3 linked regions of the Notamacropus eugenii genome follow. The protein of the gene in region 3 interacts with the protein of the main gene of each other region in a pairwise test. Links are inferred from orthologs where the notes say so. Each region holds a gene or a part of one and is shown on either strand. Other genes may lie near its edges.

Evidence for each region.
Region 1: the proteins of PRKCI (region 3) and PARD6G interact in binary tests that used the Homo sapiens proteins (3 or more experiments, as listed by UniProt). The link is inferred for Notamacropus eugenii from reciprocal best matches to the Homo sapiens genes PRKCI and PARD6G.
Region 2: the proteins of PRKCI (region 3) and PARD6B interact in binary tests that used the Homo sapiens proteins (3 or more experiments, as listed by UniProt). The link is inferred for Notamacropus eugenii from reciprocal best matches to the Homo sapiens genes PRKCI and PARD6B.

The regions. Positions count from the first base shown.
Region 1 is NC_092875.1:199,840,226-199,847,883, reverse strand, and holds the start of PARD6G (partitioning defective 6 homolog gamma), read right to left. Parts: upstream 3,060-7,658; 5' UTR 2,734-3,059; coding exon 2,662-2,733; intron 1-2,661. UniProt on the Homo sapiens protein: Adapter protein involved in asymmetrical cell division and cell polarization processes. May play a role in the formation of epithelial tight junctions. The PARD6-PARD3 complex links GTP-bound Rho small GTPases to atypical protein kinase C proteins.
Region 2 is NC_092872.1:516,101,005-516,108,022, forward strand, and holds the start of PARD6B (partitioning defective 6 homolog beta), read right to left. Parts: upstream 3,054-7,018; 5' UTR 2,496-3,053; coding exon 2,430-2,495; intron 1-2,429. UniProt on the Homo sapiens protein: Adapter protein involved in asymmetrical cell division and cell polarization processes. Probably involved in formation of epithelial tight junctions.
Region 3 is NC_092877.1:353,921,536-353,928,914, forward strand, and holds the start of PRKCI (protein kinase C iota type), read right to left. Parts: upstream 3,096-7,379; 5' UTR 3,063-3,095; coding exon 2,920-3,062; intron 1-2,919.

The sequences.
Region 1 (7,658 bases), on a different chromosome or scaffold from region 3:
CTCAGATGCTGAGCTTACATGTTTCATCATGCAAACTACTCAGCAACCAACAAGAAGATACTACAGGATTTTGGCCAGAGGAGTGCCATGAAGAGCTTTATGCCTTAGGAAGGATGGACTGACAGAGGAGGGAAGATAAGGAAGGAATACTTGTTAAGCTATTGCAACAGTTCAGGTTGGTGGTAAGGAAGACCTGTACCAGGATGGTGGTGGTAGGAACAGAAAAGAATGGTCAAATGTAAGAGATACTGCTGAGGCACAATTGATAAGAGCTGGTAACTGAGAGGCCAAGGAGAGGAAGGAGTAGGAGATAACAGCAAGATTTCTAAGGTGGGAGTCCAGGTGAACAGTGGTATCAATGACGAAAAGTGACATCAGAAAGTTTAGGGGACAGATAAACAGTTCAGTTTTAAACCCATTGAGTTCCAAGTGCTGGCAAGAAAACCTGGTAAAGGTGTCCTGTAGGTGATGCAGATGTGTTTCTAGAGCATGATAGAAGTGAGAGCTGATGACAGAGTTCTGTCATCTGTACAGAGATGATAGCTAAAGCTACTTCAAGGGATGGGGCAAATCACCACCCAGTAGTGGGGAACCTGCAGTCTCAAAGTCACACATGACCCTCTAGGTCCTCAAATGTGGCCTACTGAATCCAAACTTCACAAAACAAATCCCTTTAATAACTCTTCTCTGCTTGGTAATAAAGCCTTAGCTTCCAAGGAATCCTGCAGGTTATTTGTTTTAGGAGTAAGCAAAGGGACAGGTTACTTCTGATTGGATGAATGGCTCTTGCTCAGGTCCCTGAGAAGTCAGCACCCACTCACCTACCTTCAAGAAACCAAAGGATTTTAAACTGTATTGTTTGTAATGTGCCTCCACTTAACTCAGCACAGGCTTGGTAGATTTCATGTGGATACTTCCAAAAGAGGTGGAAGAGGGGGGAATGACAGAATCTGCAGTTTGCTTTAAAGGGGGGTTGGAGAAGATTACATCCAGCTTCCTCCTGACCATCTTGCTTCTACAGCAGAATGAAAGAGAATAAGTATGTAGTGCCTGTTACAGAATGTCTAACGTTTGTCTACCTCCTGCCGTTCTGGAATTCGGGAGCGGGCCCCGGGCTCTTCTTTCACCCTCTGAAGATGTGAATTGAATCTTGGGGGGGAAGCAGGTTCAAGACTCTCTCGTATCTAGATCTAGTTCTAACACTATGAACACCTAAAGTGCTGGCCTTGTCGTCCCAGCCAAGGGTTCTCCACTCTTCCTCGCCCCTGGGCCCCCTGCAGCACGTACTGCTAGCGAATCCCGGCCGGCCAAAGCAGTAGTGACCTGACGGGTTTACAATCCCGCGGGCGCCCCACGACGTGGGGAAGCTTCGACAGTTTCGGCTGGTTTCCAGGAATAACAGAGAAGTCGCGAATGCAATAGTCTCCAAAGACGCAGAGAAGCAAACCTTCAATGTACCTCACTGCCTTCCCCTACCCCCACCCACAAAGAGCCTCGGGTCCAGAGGAGCCCGCACAGTCTCTCCAGGAGATAATGACCCGACACAGACAAGCGCGTCTGCAGATGAAAGCAAGGAAGGGAAGAGAACCTTCCCCCACAGAAGAGAGAATTGGGCAGATCATATCAGACGATTACACACACACACATCAGACGATTACACTTACACACACACACACACACACACACACACACACACACAACAAACAAGTTTAAACAAGCTCTCAGAAGCAAACGAGCTGGGCTCAGTGCAGGCAGGCAGGCGAGACTGACTCACTAGTTAGGATCCGCCAGAAGCCTTCAGTAAACTGCCCCAGCCAGGGGCACAAACAGCTAGCGGGGGTGGGGGGCAGAGAAGAAAGAAGGGAGCCAGCAGGGCAGACTTGGGAGGGGAGATGGAGAGGGGAAAAGTGAGGGGGTATCTGGATTCCTTCTTTTTGGAAACATTTCTCCCCTTGGAGCTTATAGGAGGGGGTCCTTCCCGTCCCCGACCCCCAAATCTTCCATCCATTGATCCTAATCCCCAATAAGCCCTCAGACTGTCAGTCCAACCCCCAAAACGATGGTTAGCCCAAGAAATGCCGCCCTCCTCTCTAGCCTCCGCGTCTCGGGTTGCTTCTCAGTCCGACTAAACAAAAGAGCAAATTTAAATTGAGTGGGTCGGCAGCAGTAACATTTTTTCCATAGTTTCCCTGCCCTACGGACGCGCTCAGATCTAACGGGAATCTCCCCCCAGTTGCAAATCCAAGCTTTTAACTCCACAAGGAAGACAGTGGATAGACAGGGAATCTACGAGCCTGGCTGGTTGCACTGTGGCTGCTGAAATCTGAGAGCAGCGAACCCCAAACACAGGCTTACACTGCAACAAAACTTCTCCCTCGCTCTCTGGGTTGCAGAGGGGGGACCCTCAGTCCCCATTGCGGTTTGCAGGAGAGGTCGCACATTCCTCGGATTCCCCAGCACAACCCCGGAGGAGAAAAAGGTGGACCTGTTACTTGATCTCAGAAACATCAAAAGAGCGCAAAAAAAGTTGTCACTAATAATTCTCTCGCCTCCCACTTTTCTAAAGTCACAAAACGCCAAAGAATCTCCATTCATTTGCAAGGGGGAAAGAGGGAGAGAGGGCTGAAACAGGACTGGGGGCTGGCATTCAGCCTTGCTTACCTTACTCTTGACTTCCACTGCGTTGCAATCGAAAAACCGCAGACTCTGAGATTTATTAAAACTCCGATTCATTTTTTCGGTCCCGGTTATCTCTCTTCTTCGCCCTTGTTCCACAAGGGCTGCAAAAAGCTGATCCGTATGTGGGAAAAGCGCCCCCCTCCCCCGCCTGTGGCTGGTCCCCCGACTGCAGGCGATTTGATCTTTCTTTGGAACGCCGCAGCCCCGAGAGAAGTCTCCACTTCGCCCCAGCGCTCTGACTGGAACGCCCGCCTCAGTCTCTCCGTTCTCCCCAGGCTCGGGTAGGTAAAAATCGCCCCAACAGGGCTCGCAGCGCGCCGTGACTCAATGGGAAGAGAAGCGAGGAGGGCAGACGCCTGCACGTATTGCTCCGCCTCACTGGAGAACCCGCCCCCTTTTTCTCCTCCCCTTCATCATTCCATTTCCCTGGAGTCGGGAAGCTGGCTGCTGCGGCTGCTGCCCATGCCGCTGCCTTAGCAGGCTCGTCACCGGCAGAGGACGCGCGCTCTGTTGTCAGCAGTTCAGCGGCGAAATTCCTGAACCCGAGGCAAAGCCACACAAAGCTCGGGAAACTGCAAGCCGGGTTTTCTGGCCAGTGAAATGTGCACCGCACCGTGGAACACCTACCCCGGCCAAGCTTCCCGGCTTCAGCGACCCGCGAGATCGAGGGTCTGCTCGGCCTTTGTTTCCTTTCATCCACCATCCCTTCTAAAGAAGTATTACTATTTTTGTTTTGGTTTTTTGGGGTGGGTTTTTTGGGTTTGTTTTTTGTTTTTCCTGCTCCCTTGGGTATTTATTTAAGCTAAGCATAGCAATGAAAACCACAAGGGGAAAAAGAAAAGGAGAAAAATGCATTCCCTATTTAAAAATTTTTTAACTTGGAAAGTCAAGAATAGATAAAATCGCGGGGGACGGGGGCAGAGTGGGAGGGGGAGTGAAATATCTTCGGATGGTCTACAGAAATGTCATTGTTCCTTTCTGGCTCAGGCCCCGAATACTAAACAAATTCCATTCAAGAAGTCTTGGGGGGGGGGGGGGGTTCGAAAACCTCCCCGAGAATGGATTACTGTGAGAGTTTTACCTCTGCCGAGCTCCCAACCCCTATCCGCTTGAGGAGGGTGGGGGGGGAGACACACAATATGCCTCGGTAGCAGAACCTGGATAGATATGCTTCAGACCTGGATTCAGGAAGACCTGAGTTAAAATTCGACCTCAGACACTAGCTTTGAGACCCTGAACAAGTCACTTAACCCTGTTTGCCTCAGTTTCCTCATCTGTAAAATGAGCTGGAGAAGGAACTAGCAAATCATTCCAGAATCTTCCAATGATAATAATAATTACTAACATTAACATCATGATTGAAGGTTTGTAAAAAATGCTTTACAGATATTTAATCTTTACAACAACTGATCCCATTTTAGAGATGAGGAAACTAAGGGTAAGAGACATCAAAGGACTTGCTCAGGGTCACACAGCTAGTAGGGATCTGAGGCAGAAGTTGAATTCAGGTCTTCCTTGTTCCAAGTATGGCAGTCTATCCTCTATGCCGCCTATTTGCCTGCCTACTCAACTGAGCTCAGAGGCCACTTCTATGAAATCTTTCCACCTCCCCAGTGGTTAGCCAGGATTATTAGCTGGTAAATCTGGCTTTCCAAAAGAAATGTACACATGACACACTTTTAAATTTAATCTGCCTCATTAACATTTTCTTCCTCATTTAAACTCTAGACAATTAGAAAAAATAAGTCAAGCCTTGATAGGTAGGATTTGCAGATTTTCAAGATGCTTTCCTCAGTGAGTTAGAACTGGCTCTAGCATACCCCTGGGTCCTCCCCTGTAATATTAATATAAGATTCATGGGGGGGAAAGGGAGGAAGAGTTAAGATCTTTCCTGCCTATTAATAGGCCTCAATGCCTTTTGTTAATTTCTGTTGAGGCGCTCGGTCACAAGGGTCCTGCCCTCCAGCTCTGAAAAGTGTATAAATACTCTGAGGTGAGGTTTTTACACTGGAGCATACTTGTTAGAAGTGTTTGGCCAGATGAACCTTTGGGCAGCTGATAAGGAGAACCCTACCCCCCCTCCCCTTTGCAAACCCGGGTGTTGGTGCTTCTCTCTCTGGTAACTATGTATGTATGTAATGGTCAGACAGTTGGATCTGTCTGTTGATCTATGATGTATATATTTGTTACGGTCAGACAGTTGGAAGCCCTGTCTGTTGGTCTTTATTTCTCTGCTTGTATTTTCTCCGTTGGTATATGTGTTTGATTAAAGTGATTGTTGACCCCTCAAAAGTTGCTTTCCTTTTATAAAAGCAGATCTAAAAACCTGTACAACAGGCCCACCTGTGTATGCCAGGGCCCTTGCTATTACATCCCCCTCTTCTAATTACTCCACATTGATTCATTAGTGTACTTGTAACTCCCAGTAACATGCAAGTTCCTTGAGCACAAGGATTATTTTCTTTTTCCTTTTTGTATTCTCAGAGATGTATGGGGAATTCAGGGAGGACTAGCACTATAGTGTGAGGGCTTGCCAAGGCCTTTTCAAAGTTACTCATCCACCTTTGGTGTCTACCTGTCACCCAACTATCATTTGTGGCTCCAAGAAGTTGTAGCATGTGCACTGGCCACATCTCAGCAAAACTGTCTCAGGAGACAGACTAAACTAAGTTGAGGGGAACCAATGGTCTCAAACCTGTTGTTGAATTGGGAGGGGGGAGGGGTTGTATGGGGAGTGTCTACCCCAGGCATGTGAAGACTTCCCTGGTGACAGATGAGAACACTTTGTTCTAAGGGTCATGAAAGTGGTTGAAGCAGGTGCTATGAAGTACTTAGAGCTTGGTTAGACACTGAAGACACCAAGGTCACCCACTGCAGCCCTGGCTATCCAAGAAAAGTTAAAAGGGGAGAGGAGAGCCCTCCTACAACCCAATACCCTGCCCTCCGTATCCATCCTACACTGCTCCCTCCCCTCTCTATTTTGTGTGCTTCTAATCAAGGCAAAGGGAATTTGGGCAAACAAATATGGCCCCACATTTCTAGCCCTTCCCTTTGGTTTCATTTTTTTGTCTGCCGAGGTCACCCACTGCACCCTGGACCATTGCCAGTTGTCTTGACTTGTCTTAGTACTGGACTTTGATAAGTCTGAAAGAGAGAGTGAGGCAGATGACTTTGGGCAACTCTGCCTCACTTAAGTCCAGTTCAGGTGCAAGTCAAGACATCACCCCATGATGTCATCAGTACTCTTTAAAACACAGGATAAATAACATCCTGAGCCCAGAGTTCAGTTGAATTGGCCTCCAATTGACATTGACTTAAAAGGCAACTGAAGAAATCATCTAGTCAAACCACTTTGTTTAAAGATAAGGAGAAATGAAGCCTCTGAGAAGAATTTTGATGTGGTCAAGGATACACAGGCAGTAAGCTACACTGAGGCTCTGACTCAAGGATTGTACTTCCAAGTTTAGGCCTCTTTCCACTATATCACTACATTGTCAAGATAAAGAAATGAAGTCCAAGCAGGAAAACATCAGCAATAAACTTGTAGGTTCAGTCAGTCAGTCAGTATCTACTAAGTGCCTCTTATGTGTGAGGTACAGTGCTAAACACAATATATAGAAAGAGAAGAGGGTTTTTTTTTTTTCAGGAGTTTTGGATTTGGGAGAGGAAAGATTTAGAGCTTCTCTGAAATCTCTGCTCCACAAAAAAGCTCAGCGCCTAGGGCAAAACCGGAGAGACAGCTCTGAACATAAATGTTAGTGATAAAAGATTTTCTTTCTATACAAGGAAAATGACAATAACTTCTTCAATACTTTAAACATTTATTTTTTTGTTTTTCAGCAAAGACCCACCCTCCACTGATGAAGCTCACCATGCTGTCCGTAGCCTTCATGGTAGCTATGCTGGAATTTATTAAGGCAAGTCCTTGAACAAAAGATATGCCTATTACTGTCCAGGATTTATTATGGACTTTAGTACGCCTTGAAATCCTTCTGCTTTCCAGTTTCCCCAAGTGTTGAATTCTTCCATTAGAGGAGAAGCTCTTTAAAGGAAAGGACTGTCTTTCTTTCAGCTAGTGATGCTAATCCTAACAATTAACCCTGTGCCTAGCTCTAACTCACTAATTACAAAATGTTTTCCCCAAAATAACCTTGTAAACTAAGAAGTGCATCTACTATTGTCTTAGGATCATAGATTTAGAGCTACCAGGTACTTTAGAGGTCAAGTCCAACACCGTTATTTGAGAGAGACAGAGACAGAGATAGGCAAAGACAGAGACAGAGAGATAGAGACAGAGTGAGATATTAAGTTGCTCAGTGGTATCCAACTCTTCCCATGGACCATAGCACACCAGGACCTTCTGTCCTGCACTATCTTTTGAAGTTTGTCCAAGTTCATGTTTGTTGTTTCTGTGTATACATCTTATCCTCTTCTGTTCCCTTTTTCTTTAATATTTCCCAACATTGGGGTCTTTTCCAATAACTACCATCTCATTCCAATAACTGCCACAGTATTTAAGCTTCAGCTTCAGTATTTGACCTTCCAGTGAACAGCCTGAATTAATTTATATAAGTACTGGCTGATTTGACCTCCTTCCTGTCCAAGAGATTCTCAAAAGTCTTTTCTAACACCACAATTCGAAAACATCAGTTCTGTGGTGGTCAGCTTTCCTTATAGTCCAACTCTCACAGCCGTGTTCTCATCTGACAGCCATGTTTTCTTCTGAAAAAAAACCATGGCTTTGACTATATGTTGGCAAGGTGATATCTCTGCTTTTTAGAAAGAGATAGCATTAATTAAGTGTTTTCTATGTGCCAGGCCTATTCAAAGCACTGAGGATAAAAGTACAAGCAGCAAGACAGTTCTTATCCCTAGGAAGCTTACTTTCTAATGGGGGGGGTGTCACTTAAAAGAAGGATGGTTGTGAGCAAGATAAGGCTTTGAAATCTCATCCATTAAATCCCAGGGATCTAGGGACA
Region 2 (7,018 bases), on a different chromosome or scaffold from region 3:
CAAGAGATAATTAAGTAAATCTGCTACAGAAAAAAAAAATACATTTCAACTTCAAAGAATACCCTTGCTTAATGGGAAGAAATAGATATCTTCTCCCCTACATTTTAAGGGTCATTCTGAGCCAAGTAATAATATTGATTCCTACGAAATCAACTTTTATCATGATTATGGCCATGGTACATTAAAATTCAATGCCATTAGACAAAACCTGTATAGTAAAACACGACAGAGAACAGTTGTTTAAAATTTAATATATTTATATGAAAATAGAAAAAAAAAAGGCATGGCTACCATTTTTATCATTTTAAAAGTAAATCTGTCCAAGTTCCAGAAAATACCTTAGAAACAATTCAGTTTCACCATTCAAAACAATTTTACTGACAAAAATTTACTTAAAACTTAATATGAACACAGAAATTGTATTGATGCTTTGCCTATCTACTTACCATAAGCTAAGAGAATAACAGCAGGCTCTATATACATATAGCTCTTTACAGCTTAAAAAACTTTCCTAAGAATATGTATCTCAAATTGAGCTTTTCCAATGGCTGTATAAAAAGGAAATGTTTATAAAAACTTTAACATTTCAAATATGCCATTTAAACGGTTTAACTGCAACTACAAACGTGTGAGAATTTTAAATCAACTGGTAGAAAAACAGAAAATCTCTTAAAGTACAATCCTATGAGATACATTATTTCAACATGCATTTTAGGACCCCTATGCAAGGCACCATAACAAATGCTCATAATTGTGGGGTCTAAAACAATTTAAAATTTTCCAATATTAAAGAGAGAATATTTAGATTGAGTATTAATTCATTTTTAAAAAGTTAAAACCAACTGGCTAAGTAGAAGTTAATGCCTATTTCTGAGACCGGACCATACCTGAGAATTTGTCAACCTAAGCTCCCACAAAACCAAATCTGGTGATAGAACTGCAGAAAGGCATCTCAATCATCTTTGTATGGACTCGTTACTGTTATAGCATTATCCAAATTTATTTTTAATCATATTACTGTCATGCCAACAAATTCAATTTGCAATGAGAATTCCATGAAGGATGAAGAGAGAGTATGTTCTTTAAAATCCAAGTCTAAAGTTTGATTTGATGACTACATTTATGCTGATTAAATAGTGCATACAGTTTCAAACCAAACTCTACAACACACACACACACGGAATGGAGTTTCAAATGTTAACTTTTAAAAACAAGGCAAATGTGGATATCCTCGATCTCATTTTAAAGATCAAAAACTTGTAAATACACGGTCATCATCCCCTGAAGAAGACTGCATTTCTTCTTCTATGTATCCTTTAAGAAACTTCTCCCCAGTACCTTCATTCCACGGATCACTACTCTCACTCGGCAAACCGTCGATACTCAGGAATTCAATTATGCAATATTATGTTGCATTTGATACATTACTTTGTATCTACTTTGTAGCTATTTTCACGGCGCTTTCCATGCTTTGGATTCCCCTACAGCAAACTTCTGATAGGCATTACATCTCCCAAAGCCTAAAGCGGAATACGGTAGTTTTCTCACAAACTATGTGATCTTCTGCAGGTCTCTGAGCTTCAGACTCCAGAGTGTAGGTGGGGTGGGAGAGAAGAGGTTGAACAAGGTCTACATGGTTCCATCCAGTTAATATTAGCTGAATTCAAGGAAAGGTTTATTGGGATTGAACTGTCTCTTATGCATGTCTCCTCCTCCAAATTCACAGTTAAAAATCAATCTCATTTAAGAAAGCCTTTCCCACCAAACCTCTGATCACACTTTTAATAGATGGTTTTCAGTGACATCAGTGATAAACCCACTACTCAGGTTCAGTCGACATCTTAATTAACTAGTTTCATGGCTCATACGCTGGCTTGTAAATAGTTAAATAATTTCACGTTTTAAGTGTTTGGGTTTTGTTTCTTGGGTGTTCTCAACAGACCAAAGTTCTGCTGTGAAGCATTAGTGAAATTTTAAAATTCTGTTGTGATGAGTTAATACTCTCAAAGAGTAAACAGATGACAATACCAGTTAAGAGACAGGACCTCATTTTGCTACGATAGGAAGCAGATCGAATTTGAAGTCCATTTCCTACTCCCCGGCCGGTGAGCGGGGGCACGGCGAGGTGGACTCAGCCCAAGAACCCAAGCCCAATCAAGTTCTCCCCTTCCATCTGCCTCTTTCACTCGGGCGTGATCCCCTCCTTCCTACTCTCACCTGCGGGTTACGAGCTGGGGGAGGGGAGCGGAGGGGAGGAATGCTGGTCAAGCTCCGGCGAACAATACTAGATCCTCGCCAGTCTGCCGGGGCAGGGCAGGGGCAGGCGGGCCCTCCAGGTTCCTCCCCGAGTTCTCAGCCCCGGCGCCGGGCCATCACCCCCGCCCTCTCCCCAGTCTTGCTCCCGCAGACTCCCGGGGCCCCGCACCCACCTTGCTCTTCACCTCCATGGTGCCCAGGCAGCCGCTGCCCGCGCCGTGCCGGGGAGTCCGGTTCATGGTGAGCGCGGGGGGGAGGGGCGGGCCGTCTGCCCCAGGCGGCCTCCTCTCCCGGGGCGAGGGGGCGACGGAGAAAGAGCGCCTCCGGCCTGCGCCGCCCGGTTGGGGGCGCGGACGCGGCTCAGGAGATTCGAGCGGGAGGAGGGGGCGGCCGCGAGCGCTCAGCCTCGTCCTCAGCGGGCGCGACCTCGCGCGTGCCCCTCACGCACCTGCAGTTATCCGGGTGTGGGGGGCGGGGAGTCGCCACGACTGCGGTGCGCGCGCTCACCTGCCGGCCCCGACTCCGGAGGCCCAGGAGAAGCCGAACGACTGACTCCTCCCGCCCGCCCAGGGGCCAGAGCCGCGGTACACAGCCGAGAAGCTCTCCTAGTTGACTGGAATGAAGAGGAAGGGAAGGAAAGGAAAAAAGAGGGAAGGGGAACGTCACGCGCCCCTCCCACCCCAGCGCCCGCCTAGAGACGCCCGGGGGAGCACCTGAAGAGCGGGGGCGGTCTCCACCCCTTCCCCATCCAACCCCTCCTTACACCGCTGTTAAGCAGGGAAGTAGAGCGCATGCGTGGCCGCTGGAGTTTCCGCTGCAGAAGCTGGAGAACGGGGGAGGGGCGGGGGTCTGTGCCGGAAGCGAGAGCGCACCTGGAGGCGCCAGCCCTCGGGCCGTTCTCCCCTCCCCCCTCCCCGCCCCCGAGGCTGCGGGGGCGCGCTCCTGGCCTCCTCCGGGCTGGGGTTCTGGGACGTGGGCGAGTGAGCACCTGCGGTGGAGGGAGGCGCTTAACGCCTTGGAAAGCGCTGTAGAAGTGTCACCTGTTACCCATGGAGAGAGCCGGAGCCTCGGCTTCCGCGGGACGGCCAGGGCGAGAGCTGGGCCCCCGAGCGCTGGGGCCGAGCCGTCGAGTCTCCACACCCCAGCCGCCTCCCGTTTAATTGGAGGCGTCATTTATGACGACCGCTCCCCTTTTGGAGGAACTTGAAAATGAATGCCCCCTGGTATTTAATGGTTCACAGGTTACCGCGGCCAAATAACTCATCCTCTGGGCATGAGCCTTTGCCCGCCTTGCCGGTAGGCTGCTCCTGGGGTGGCACACGCGCAGTTGGTCGCAGGGCCTTCGTATTTGACAGGCCTGGAAGACCCTCGCTACCTGAGTTTAGACTTTTCGCCTAAATTTTGAGCCGCTCCCCGTTGCTAACACGCTGTGTTTTTCCTCCCAGTCCCTCCTCAGTCAGTTCCCTTCCTGGTGCTTTAAAATGCTGTCTTAGCACCTTTAGATATTCGTCACTCCGACCACCAACCCCGACCTGCACTTTTCTAGACTGGACCATCCGGGCCATGTTCTTTGGGTTCAGAAATGTCCGCTATCTTCTAAGTTTCCCTGGTAGAAATAGAACCTATTTTTCACCAACAAATTAACCCTTATCTGTCATCCTGGAGGGGAGAGAAAACCGGAGACTTCTAGAAATGTTTCCCAAAGGGCAAGTTCCCAAACTCCAGAAAGAAGTCCCAGGGTCATTTGTACTTGGACCAACAAATTCTCATGTGAGGTTTATTAAAGATGACTGTGGAGTGGAAAGAATGCCAAACTTGAAATTATGGAAACTAGGTTCATACTCTAACTTTAATTATGTGCTATCTGTGACCTTGGACAAGTTACTTTGCATTTTTAAGACTCAATTTTCTCATCTGTAAAATGGGAATAATCCTATCTTATGGGAGAAAATGTTGCATAAGCATTAAGTCTTAAAAAGTTGCAGAAATGTTAGTTATCATTACTGTGTGCAAAGAACAGTACTAGGAAATACCAAATTTAGCTAAGAGTGTGTCCTTCCTAAATAGTGTTTACGGTTTTGTACCTTGGTGGGAGGGATAAGCCATAAACTGGTATAGCAGAGATTCACCATATTCCTAGTTAAGTGTTTTGGAAAAAAGGATAAAACAAAGATAAATTGCTTTATCTGGGTACTTCCTTAGTTTCAGGTGAGTTATTCCATCGGTCCTGCAGGATAGCAAGATCTTCTAGGTTAGGGACTCCACCTTACCTGGAGGGGAATAAGAAGGGAATTTGCCCCTTGACCTTTTTCACTCTTTCTGCTAACCAGTGAGAAAGTTTCAAAAGAACAGCTCGAACAGCTTTGTGATTTCCCTTAGTTTAAAGAGGTCTAGAGGAGAACTCATAATTTAAAACCACTTGATTTTATATTTCCTACAGCTAGGCTCTTGGGACCTCTGTGTTGTTGTTTAGTTGTGTCCAACTTTTCATGACCCCATTTGGGGTTTTCTTGGCAAAAGTTATGGGAGTGAGGCAAATGGGGTTAAGTGATTTACAAGGGTGACATAGGTAGTAAGTGTCTGAGGCTCGATTTGAACTCAGAAAGATGTCTTCCTGACTCAAGACGTGGGCTGTATCTACTGTGCATCCAGCTGTCCTAGCTGCTCTGTACCTTTAGCCTTAAAATGAGGGCCTTAAAATGAGGGTTGAACTGGATGATCTTTAAGGGTCCTCCCTTCCAGTTCTAAATCTGTTCTAACCTTGTAAGGTGGATTTTTTTCCTTGGATCTCTGAAGTACAAGTATTATTATCATTTTTGAGATAACTCTTAAAAGGTTCTTGGGAGGGGCTCTACATTCCTAAGGGAGGAGGGAAGTATTTGGATCTCTTAAGAAAATTCTTCCACAGCATTTCTGCTTGCCTAGAGGTCTCCTACCACTGCTCTTCAGAGCTTAGGAGAGGAAGTGAGCTGGAGCCCACATAAGTAATTAAAGACCCTGGTTTATGACCTGCTCTTCTCACCTAAATATAAATAGGATTTGTTTCATTCTTTGTATGTTTATCTCATGTACCTGGCACTCTACCTGGCATATTTAGGGACATAATAAAAGCTTATTGATTTATTGATTCATTGATTTGGGGCTGGGGTATGGAGACATTTGGGCTTCTTAGAAATACTACTCATTTGGCCTGGTAACTTGGGAAATGCATACTGGTTTTGTAGAAGCCCACCTATTTCCCTCTCAAAATATACCCTTAAGCCAACAGATCCAGGAGAAAGAGTCTTTTGAGAAAGCCTGTCCAGAAAGTATGGATGGTGGTTTATAACTGTGTTTCAGAACCTCATGTTATCAATACTGATTTATCAGAGTTCTCCTAACAGGAATGTACATAAGCCAGCCTCGTGTGGGCATTGCATTCCTGAAGGTGTTGTCATGCCCCCTCAGGGTGTGGTTTCCCTTACATGGACTTTCCTTTCTAGATGCAAGGGTAAGGCTTATGCTTCCTGGTTCTCCAAAGAGGAATTCACTGAAAGGCTTGCATCACTGTGTAATTAGAGGTGTAAAAAAATAGTTTAAATTTGATAAAGGGGAGGAGGGACCATCCCCTTCCAGGTCCTTTTCCTATTACAGATTCAGCCTGTGATTCAGCCTTTCCCAAGCTATTCAAAGCTCTTGAAGTTATGAGACTGACACTAATCTACCTTCATCCAACCCTCCCCCAAATCCCCATTCACCTCTACAGTAGAAATCTTATATCCTGTTCTTCATTAGAGTACAGCTATTGCATAGTAGGTACTCATTTCATCTGAATGAGTGAATGAGGTCAGAGAGAGACTTACCCTTAGTGAATTTTAAATCAATTCAACAAATATTTATTAAGGATCCTATTTCTGGGTCCTCCACAAGGACAAGATGCAAAATAATCCCTGACCTTAAGGAATTTACATTCTACCAGGAGATATTACAGTTATACAAATAAGTAAATGTAATATAATTTCTGATACCACTCAGCTCCACTAAAATTATTCGGTTTAAGGCATACTGCCAGTCTTTTATCTGCTAAATCTCAAGGTATTAGTCCTCGTCTTTCTGCAGCTTTTGAAACACTTAACCTTCTCTTCCTGCATATTCTCCCTTCCTTGGGTCTGCAAGAGATTTCCACTCTCTTCTAGTTTTCCTGCTTGTCTGAAGTTTCTCTCTCAGTCTCCTTCACTAGATCATCATTCATCATATCCTGCTCCCCATGTGTGGGGCCAATTATCACCTATACGCAGAGACTTCCAAATCTGCATATCCAACCCTCTTTTCTCTCTAGGGAAACCCTTCCCTAGCCAACTAGCTGCCAGAATAAATCAGTGAAAAAGCATTTATTAAGCACTTAGCTTGTGTGAAGCACTGGATATGCAATTAAAAAAATTAGACGAAACAGTTCCTGCCCTCAAGAAGCTAAAGCAAGGTTCTAACCCACCACCCTGGACTTAGGGATGATGAGCGTGGTCATCAGTTAATTAAATGATACACCCTAACTTGGAATAGTAGAATTGAGTGATTTTTGTCCCAAGAGATGGAGATGGAAAATGGGCTAGGTTATGTTGAGGGAGGAAAAGGGCGGGATACCATTAAGATGGTGCATCTGGATAAGCTAGATACGGTAAACTCTCACCAATGATTAGAAGCCCCTGGATCAGGGCAGGACCTGGAGTGACTGAGGAGAGGTGTTTCCTGGAGCATATCTATAAGCATCTCAAACACAAAGTCC
Region 3 (7,379 bases):
GGGAAGAGGAGAGGGTAGGCTGTGGTCTTTCCCCATCCTGGTATCAAAGCAATAATTAGTTATCCCTTCCACATATGATCGAGGGTCAGCATAAGAAATCAAATGGGATATTTGGGGGAGTTTTGCAGAAGCCCCAGATGACGTACCAAAAGCCAGCAGACAAGACAGAAAAATTTAGAAACTAAGAAGCACATAAAATATATGTATAGTTTTGTATGATATCAAGACAAAAGAGAAGGAAATCCGCAAAGCCAAAATACTTCTTTTCTGGCACAAAAGGAGGACCAAAAGCTTTTAGGTGGATTTTCCAGATGGGGGAGGGGGGGCCTATGCCCCTAACCCCTGAGATGTGTAAGGGCTGCCTGAGCATTAGGGCTATTTGAAGTCCAGGCCTTAAAGACCCTTGTGGGTGAGTAAACCCCAGGGCCTCTTCTCCTTTCTCTCTTAGAGATCCAGCACACAGTAAGCATTTAATCAATGCTTGTTGGTTGACTTGATCGACCTCTTCAGCTCCCATGGTTGGGAGCCACCCACATCTGATCTCTCTCGAGCTCCAGAGCATCACTAATTAACTGTTATGGGACTTGCCCAATGGCAAGCATTCTCAAACTCACCACAACCTAATAGAACTCCTTATCTGTCCCCCAAAAAACCATCATTGTCTTCAGTTGAGGGCATCAGTCCCCTAAGTTCAAACTCACTGCTTCCCTCTCCCTCACCCCCACTAACCCATCAGCTGGCAAGTCAAGTGTCAGGCCTCCTTTCATAAGACCTTCTTCACTAACAGTCATACCTCAGCTTCAAGTCCCCTCATTTTCCAAATGGGATGATGACTGTAAGATGTTTTACAAATGTTCATCAGGACAATGGGCCTGTAGTCCCCCAGGTGGTCTACCTGCCTCCAGATTCTCCTCCACACAGAGGAGAAATGGACAGTCCTTAGACACAAGCCCAACCACCAGCTCCAGGGGCTGATGGGCTTGAGAGTTACTTCTGGTCAAACTAGCTTCTTTGTTGTTCCCCAGGACATTCAATCTCCCATTTCCCACCTTATTGGGGAAGGGGGGGGGGGGGGCCTCATGTGTGAAAATCATACCCTCTTGGGATGCCTATCAACTGGGGAATGGCTGAACAACCTGTGGTACTAGAGTGTAATGGAATACTACTATGCTGTAAGAAATGATGAGCAGGCAGATCTCAGAAAAACCTGGAAAGACTGACACAAACAGACGCTGAGTGAAGTGAGCAGAACCAGGAGAGCATTGTATACCTAACAGCCACACTGTGAAATAACTGTCTTTGATAGACTTAGCTCTGCTTAGCAATGCAAAGATCTAAGACAATTCCAAAAGACTCATGATAGAAAATGCCATCCACATGCAGAAGAAGAACTATGGAATCCGAATGCTGAGAGAAGCATTCTATTTTCTCTTTTTTCTTTCTTGTGGTTTTTCCCTTTTGTCCTGATTCTTCTTTCACAACATGACTAATGTCAAAATAAACTTACTGTGATCTGAAACGTATAGCCTACAATCAGATTGCTTGCCATCTTGGGGAAAGGGGAGAGAGAAAAAAATTTCAAAATCTTATAAAAGTGAACGCTGAGAACTCTCTTGACATTGGAAAAAATAAAGTACTATTACGTTGAAAAAAAATAAATCTTAATGTCAATAGTAGAAAGAAAAGAAAAACACCCTCCCCCATCCACCAACTTCCTTCAAGGTTCCATCTGAGTATCCTCAAGGGCAAGCTTCCATGACCCATGACCCATGACTCCTCTACTCCTGTGCCACCAATTACAGGAGGGAAGAGAATTCCAGGTGAGCAAAGTCCCTCCACCAATGAAGACTGGCACCTTCTCAAAACTTTTGAGCTCGGAGAATTGTCAGCACTCGCCCAGGATAAACCTGCCCTTCTGTATTTGAGGCAGGACTGAAACCCAGGCCAGCTCTTCATTGTCTTAAACTCCTCTCAACTTTAAAAAAAAAAACAACTTCAAAATCTGTACTTGGTCTTGAACTTCCTGTCTTCAAAGAAAGCTCCCACACCCAAGATAAATGTGTCCAATACAAACATCGTGCCAGTTGAGGAAAAGTGCAAGTTAAAGGGCCCCTTGTCTGGTTTAAGCAACTACAGGTCAAGAAGGCAGCAAGCCAAGGCAGAGAGATAGAGAGAGAGAGAGAGAGAGAGAGAGAGAGAGAGAGAGAGAGAGAGAGAGAGAGAGAGAGAGAGAGAGAGAGAGAGCGCGAGCTGGCCAGAGCCAGGGTCTAGTCCACACCTTCCACTCACAGGCTCTGTGTGCCAGACAATTCTAAGACATGAAGAGGCCCGTCCGGACTGGGGAGGGAATGTTCTCTGAGAGTTCCAGACACTGATGAAATCACAGGTCCAGGCCTATTCCCCATGCTTTCCAGAGTCAGTCTTGCTGGATTGCCTCAACATTCACAAAGCACCATGGCACAGGGGCAATTGGAGGCTGAGGCCTTGGGTGGGAATCCCCTCTCTGCTGCTTCCCAAGGCCAGTCATTTCAGTCAAGAAGCATTTATTAAACACCTACTGTGTGTCAGAGCTAAGCACTGGGGGTAGCAAGAAAGGCAAAAGACAGCCCCTGCCCTAGGAGCTCCCAGTCTAACGGGGGAAACAAAAAATATATACAAGATAAACTAGAAATCATCAGACAGATGAGCTGGAATTAAGGGGATTGGGAAAGGCTTCTACTAGAACAGCAGAACTGAGTTGGGACTTGACAGATGCCAGGAGTGGCTCAGTTTTCTCACCTGTGAAATGGACCTGCACTCAAGTTACCTCTTCAGGCTCCTTCCAGCTCAAAATCCTACATCATCATCCCAAAGGCAAGTGGTACCACCATGCAGGGTGGGAGGCAGACAGCTGGTTAGGAGTTCTGCTGGAATACCTACCTGACGGTCACCACCCATCCAGGCAGGAGGCACCCTGGGATGCACTTACTGATTCTGTACATGTCAGATGACAAGGTATAAGTCCTTGAAGGGCAGGGACATGGAGGAGCCCAGGGCCCGTTAAGTGCTGAATCCACGTTCATTGATTGGTGTGGCTCTGCTGAGAACCAGCCCTGTCAGCAGTAAGAGGAAGTCAGGTCTTACTTTGTTCCTCTAGTCTTGAACGAACCTTGGTCTGGCAGGGAGGTGTCAACACTCCCCATCTCTAAGGCTGCCTCGTAGAGAATGAAGCATGCTCTGAGGGCAGCAGGCTGGCCTCAGGGGGTCTGTGATTACAGGATCCCCACAGACCTCTGGGGATCACCAGCAGGCTCAGCGAGGCTCCTCCACAGCAGGAGGCACAGTGAGGGATGAGAGGCCCTGGGAGGCGAGGACATAGAGTAGGACACTGGAATGGCCACGGGAAGAGGCAGCAAAAAGCAGAGATGCCACTGGACAAACCAGCAGAAGCATGGGAGAGTTACCCAATACACATCTCTGATGGGGGGGCAGGGGGATGCTTTCATGATATCTTCATGTTCATACTGGATCTTCCTTCAGCAACACCCTGGGATTCTGAAGGCCACAGGTCACTTTTTTGAAAAGCCGTTTGGTGGGAAGGAGTCCATTTAATGACATTCTAGCTTTTGTTTCTAAGCCTTATAGGCCACTCTACCGTTAGTCCCACGTCTCTGCCCTGTGCGTTGTTTGTTTTTTCCCATCTACTCCTCGGCTGTCACTGGGCTTGTCTGTAGAGGACTCTCCCTCCCTTCTCGTAATTACCGGCTTGGAAAAGGGTTTGTAAATCCAATTCAATAAACATCTATTAAGCATTTCTCTTTTGTCGCAGCCCTGAGTTAGTTTCTGGAAAAGATACAAAGATTAGATAAGAATCCTGGGGGTTAAGTCCTCAGGAGGGTCTCGCTGAGGATGAGATACAACAGAAAATTGTGATGCTAAAAAATGAACAGGCTTTGGCAAGGGCCTTTCTTACTCACTCTGCAATGGCTACCTGGGCCTTTCTGTATTGGAGACACAGCCATCAATCCATAAATAGTTGTTAAGCCCCTGCTCATGTGCCAGGAACTGTGCTAAGTGCTGGATGTGTTCTTTTAACATCACAAACATTAAGAACCTATGGACAAGGCACTGTGGCAGGTCCTGGAGATACAAAATCAAATCCTTGGCCTCAAGGAGTGGACATTCTACCAGGAGGGAAAAGGGAGGGGAGCATGGACACTTTTTTTTTTAACCAGACTTGTGGCACCTTCTTTCTTGAGTCCATCACTTGGGTTGCTGGAGGGTTTAGCTTCTGGCCCTAGGTCATGCGGTCCAAAAATATATAAAAAGCAATATAGTGTAATTTCAAGAAATGGGAAGCAATGTCATGGACAAGCCAGGCACCGCTGTCGGAGCAGCTCACCCAAGGCAGAGAGAGTTCAGCCAAGTCAAGGAGACTGGGGGGGGTGGAGGAGGCTGTTAACCTGCATACAGATGGCTGAGATGCTCACGGAATAGACCTTGAAGCAGAGTAATAAAGGAAGAGAGGGAAGGCTAGATGCCCTTGGACTCCCAGTGCTTACAGTCAACTCTAGAGATAACCCCCTAAAACCTCAGTAAGTGAGAAGATCTCCCAGAGGGGTGACAGAGAAAAGAAGATGGCCCAAATGGGCCAGTGAGAGCCCAATCAGACACATGACCTCTGCCCATTAATGCCGTTACTAAAGTAGTCAGAAAACAAATGTACCAACAAAAAACAGTCTTGTCAAGACTTGCAAATATGAGAAAAATTCTACATATTTCCTTGCAAGGCCAATTTCAAACACAGCTATTCAACAATGTTTTCCTAATTGTACAATGCTGGTATAGGCAGGAAAATCTTTAAAATTATGACTGCTCAGTATAGAGTACTCTGAGAAATGTAATTTTGGAAAACATGTTTGTAAAACCCCCTGTATATTTTGTGATGCAATCTACCTGGTTCCCTCACTATTTTACTGGTAAGTCCTGCCCCACTAAAGCAAAGCTCACCATAAAAAAGCTTATATGATGTTAATCTCTCACTAACCAACAGAACTTTTTATTCTACTTCTGTAAACGAACAAAGTAATGACTAAGGAAATCCAAGGAAAAGCTCCCGTGTGTGTAAAAAAAAGACAAGGAAAAAGCCAATCTCCTATTTAAATACTAGAACAAGTAATCAAATTAAGTGTGTGGTTTAAGTTTCTTTATCTGGAGAAGGCACATTTTCATAAAGATCAAGTTTAAAGGAACTTGAAGGTCCTCTTCCTGGGGAAAAAGAGTGGTGAGTCATTTTTTTTTTTTTTTACAAAATGATCCCAGCTGCTACAAAGAAACACAGCTTGAGGGGTAGAGGGGGGCCTTGGGGTGCAACTGACCCACTGATCTCTCAGAATGAGGATATCAGTCATGCTTGGGGGAAATGTCTTCTGGTAAAGAGAATTCTTTAAAATATGAAAATCAAGTCAAAGGTGTCCTAGTTAGACAACCTGTTTAGTAACCTGCTCCTTCAGTGACTCATTGTCGTTTCAACAGTACAACCTCTGGCTGGGTATATTGCTAATAAAGATAGAGTCCTCATTAAGTCTGATTTCAGGACAGGAAGCAGAGAAATGACCAATTGAGAGAATGTTTAAGTACAGGAGTGACGCTTCAACCATGGCTCTCTATCACAGCTGAAGAAGGATCAAAGTGATTGTGGTCAGAAAGATTCCTGGCTCACCTTAGCAAAAGTCACCCTTTTTAAAGTGGAGGGGAAAGCTTACCTAAAAAACTGAAACCACAGGCCAACAGTAACACTTCCTATTGGTCATCACGCTTTGGAATTTACAAAGACATTCCTGAACAGATGAGCGTCTCCCTTCCTGACCTTGATGGTGAGAGAAACAAGGGATCTTAATTCCAACCTAGGTTGTTAAGCACAGTCACCTCTGTTTCTTTCAAAATAAACTAGAATTTAGTAAATCTGGTTATTAAATAAAAACATTTAAAATCAATGTCTCATTTCAGACAAACGTACACACAAAATGTTTTTCCCACAGTGCTCTGTGGGAGTCATGGCTGGCTGCAAAATCTCAAAATCCCATGAACTCCCCTAAGAATAAGAGCCCATTAAATAACACCCACACATTTAGCCAAGGCATGTAATGCTTTCTCTGTCTGTGTACATGTGAACTGTTCAATGTGATCTTAAGCTACTACGAGTCCTAAGATGAAGCTACAACTCCAAAGGTAAGAATTCACAAAACCACACAAACAAAAAGTCCAAACATTTCATTAAGAATCATTTGTGGGGACTCGATTTTGTTGGAATACAGAGGAGGGAGGTGGCAGGCAACTAGGACCTCCCTCTTACAGGTTCCCCATTCACAATCCTCACTGATCCATTCCGGAATGTACACACTGTACAGTCAACCTTTTTTTTTTTTAAGCCACTGACTTCTGCCTGGATAAATAAGCAACAAGCACACTGGTAAAGGTGTTTGTTTGGAAAACCCCCAAGCTGGTCTCAGCAGTGAACAGCAGCCACAAGGGCAGGCACCTCACAAAACAACGACCAAGTGAAAGCTGTTCAACTGAACTGGAAGTCTTCAATTTGGGGGAGAAGAAAAGTTCCTAAAGTTACAACATTCTTTAATCAAGTATCACGGCTGAACTCTTTTCCCCTAGGGGAGATGGGCCAACATTAGCTAAGGTGATGAGATAAGAAAAGCCCCACGGAATTACCTTCAGTGCCAGGAGGTGTGGGATGGTTTTCTTCTCACCTGGCAGGGCTCTCATCCTAAAACCAAGTTCTTGGAAAGCCAGCAACACCAGGGAGGGGCTCCCCAAATAACCATTCTCAACAAATCCCTCCTAAATCTGGGGAGATCGCATCATTCACTCAACCATTCAGAAATCCCTGGCAGCCCCAAACAGGTAATGAACTTATTATGGCCGTCCTCAGGTAAAGTCCACGTGCGTAACTTGGTGGCTTTTCCTTTTGTTGGGTATGACTTCAGGCATGCCCACTTCAGCTTACCACAGTCTAAATTGGTCCTGCAGCCTAGACCCAAGGGAAAGCAAGCCAGACTCAAAGTCTTCATTTGAAACTCCTGCCACATGCCAGCCCAAAGCAAGGCCTATTCCTGCCCATGCAGTAGGGGAACCCCACCCAGGCCCCCTTGAGAGACTCAGCACCCCCTGAGCCAGCCCACCCCAGCCACCTTGACAAGCAGGCCATGGCCAGTCCAGCCAACGGGCACTCTGATGCTGAGGACAGAAGAGCGAGCTGACCTTCAAGGGCCTTACAGCCTACAGCAGACCCAGCCATGAGGCGCTCCTTGAGGGTCCAGGTGGAGAGCAGAGAAGGCCAAGATCCTCCAGACACCCCCAAGCCCATCTCCTGTACTGCCAGGCAC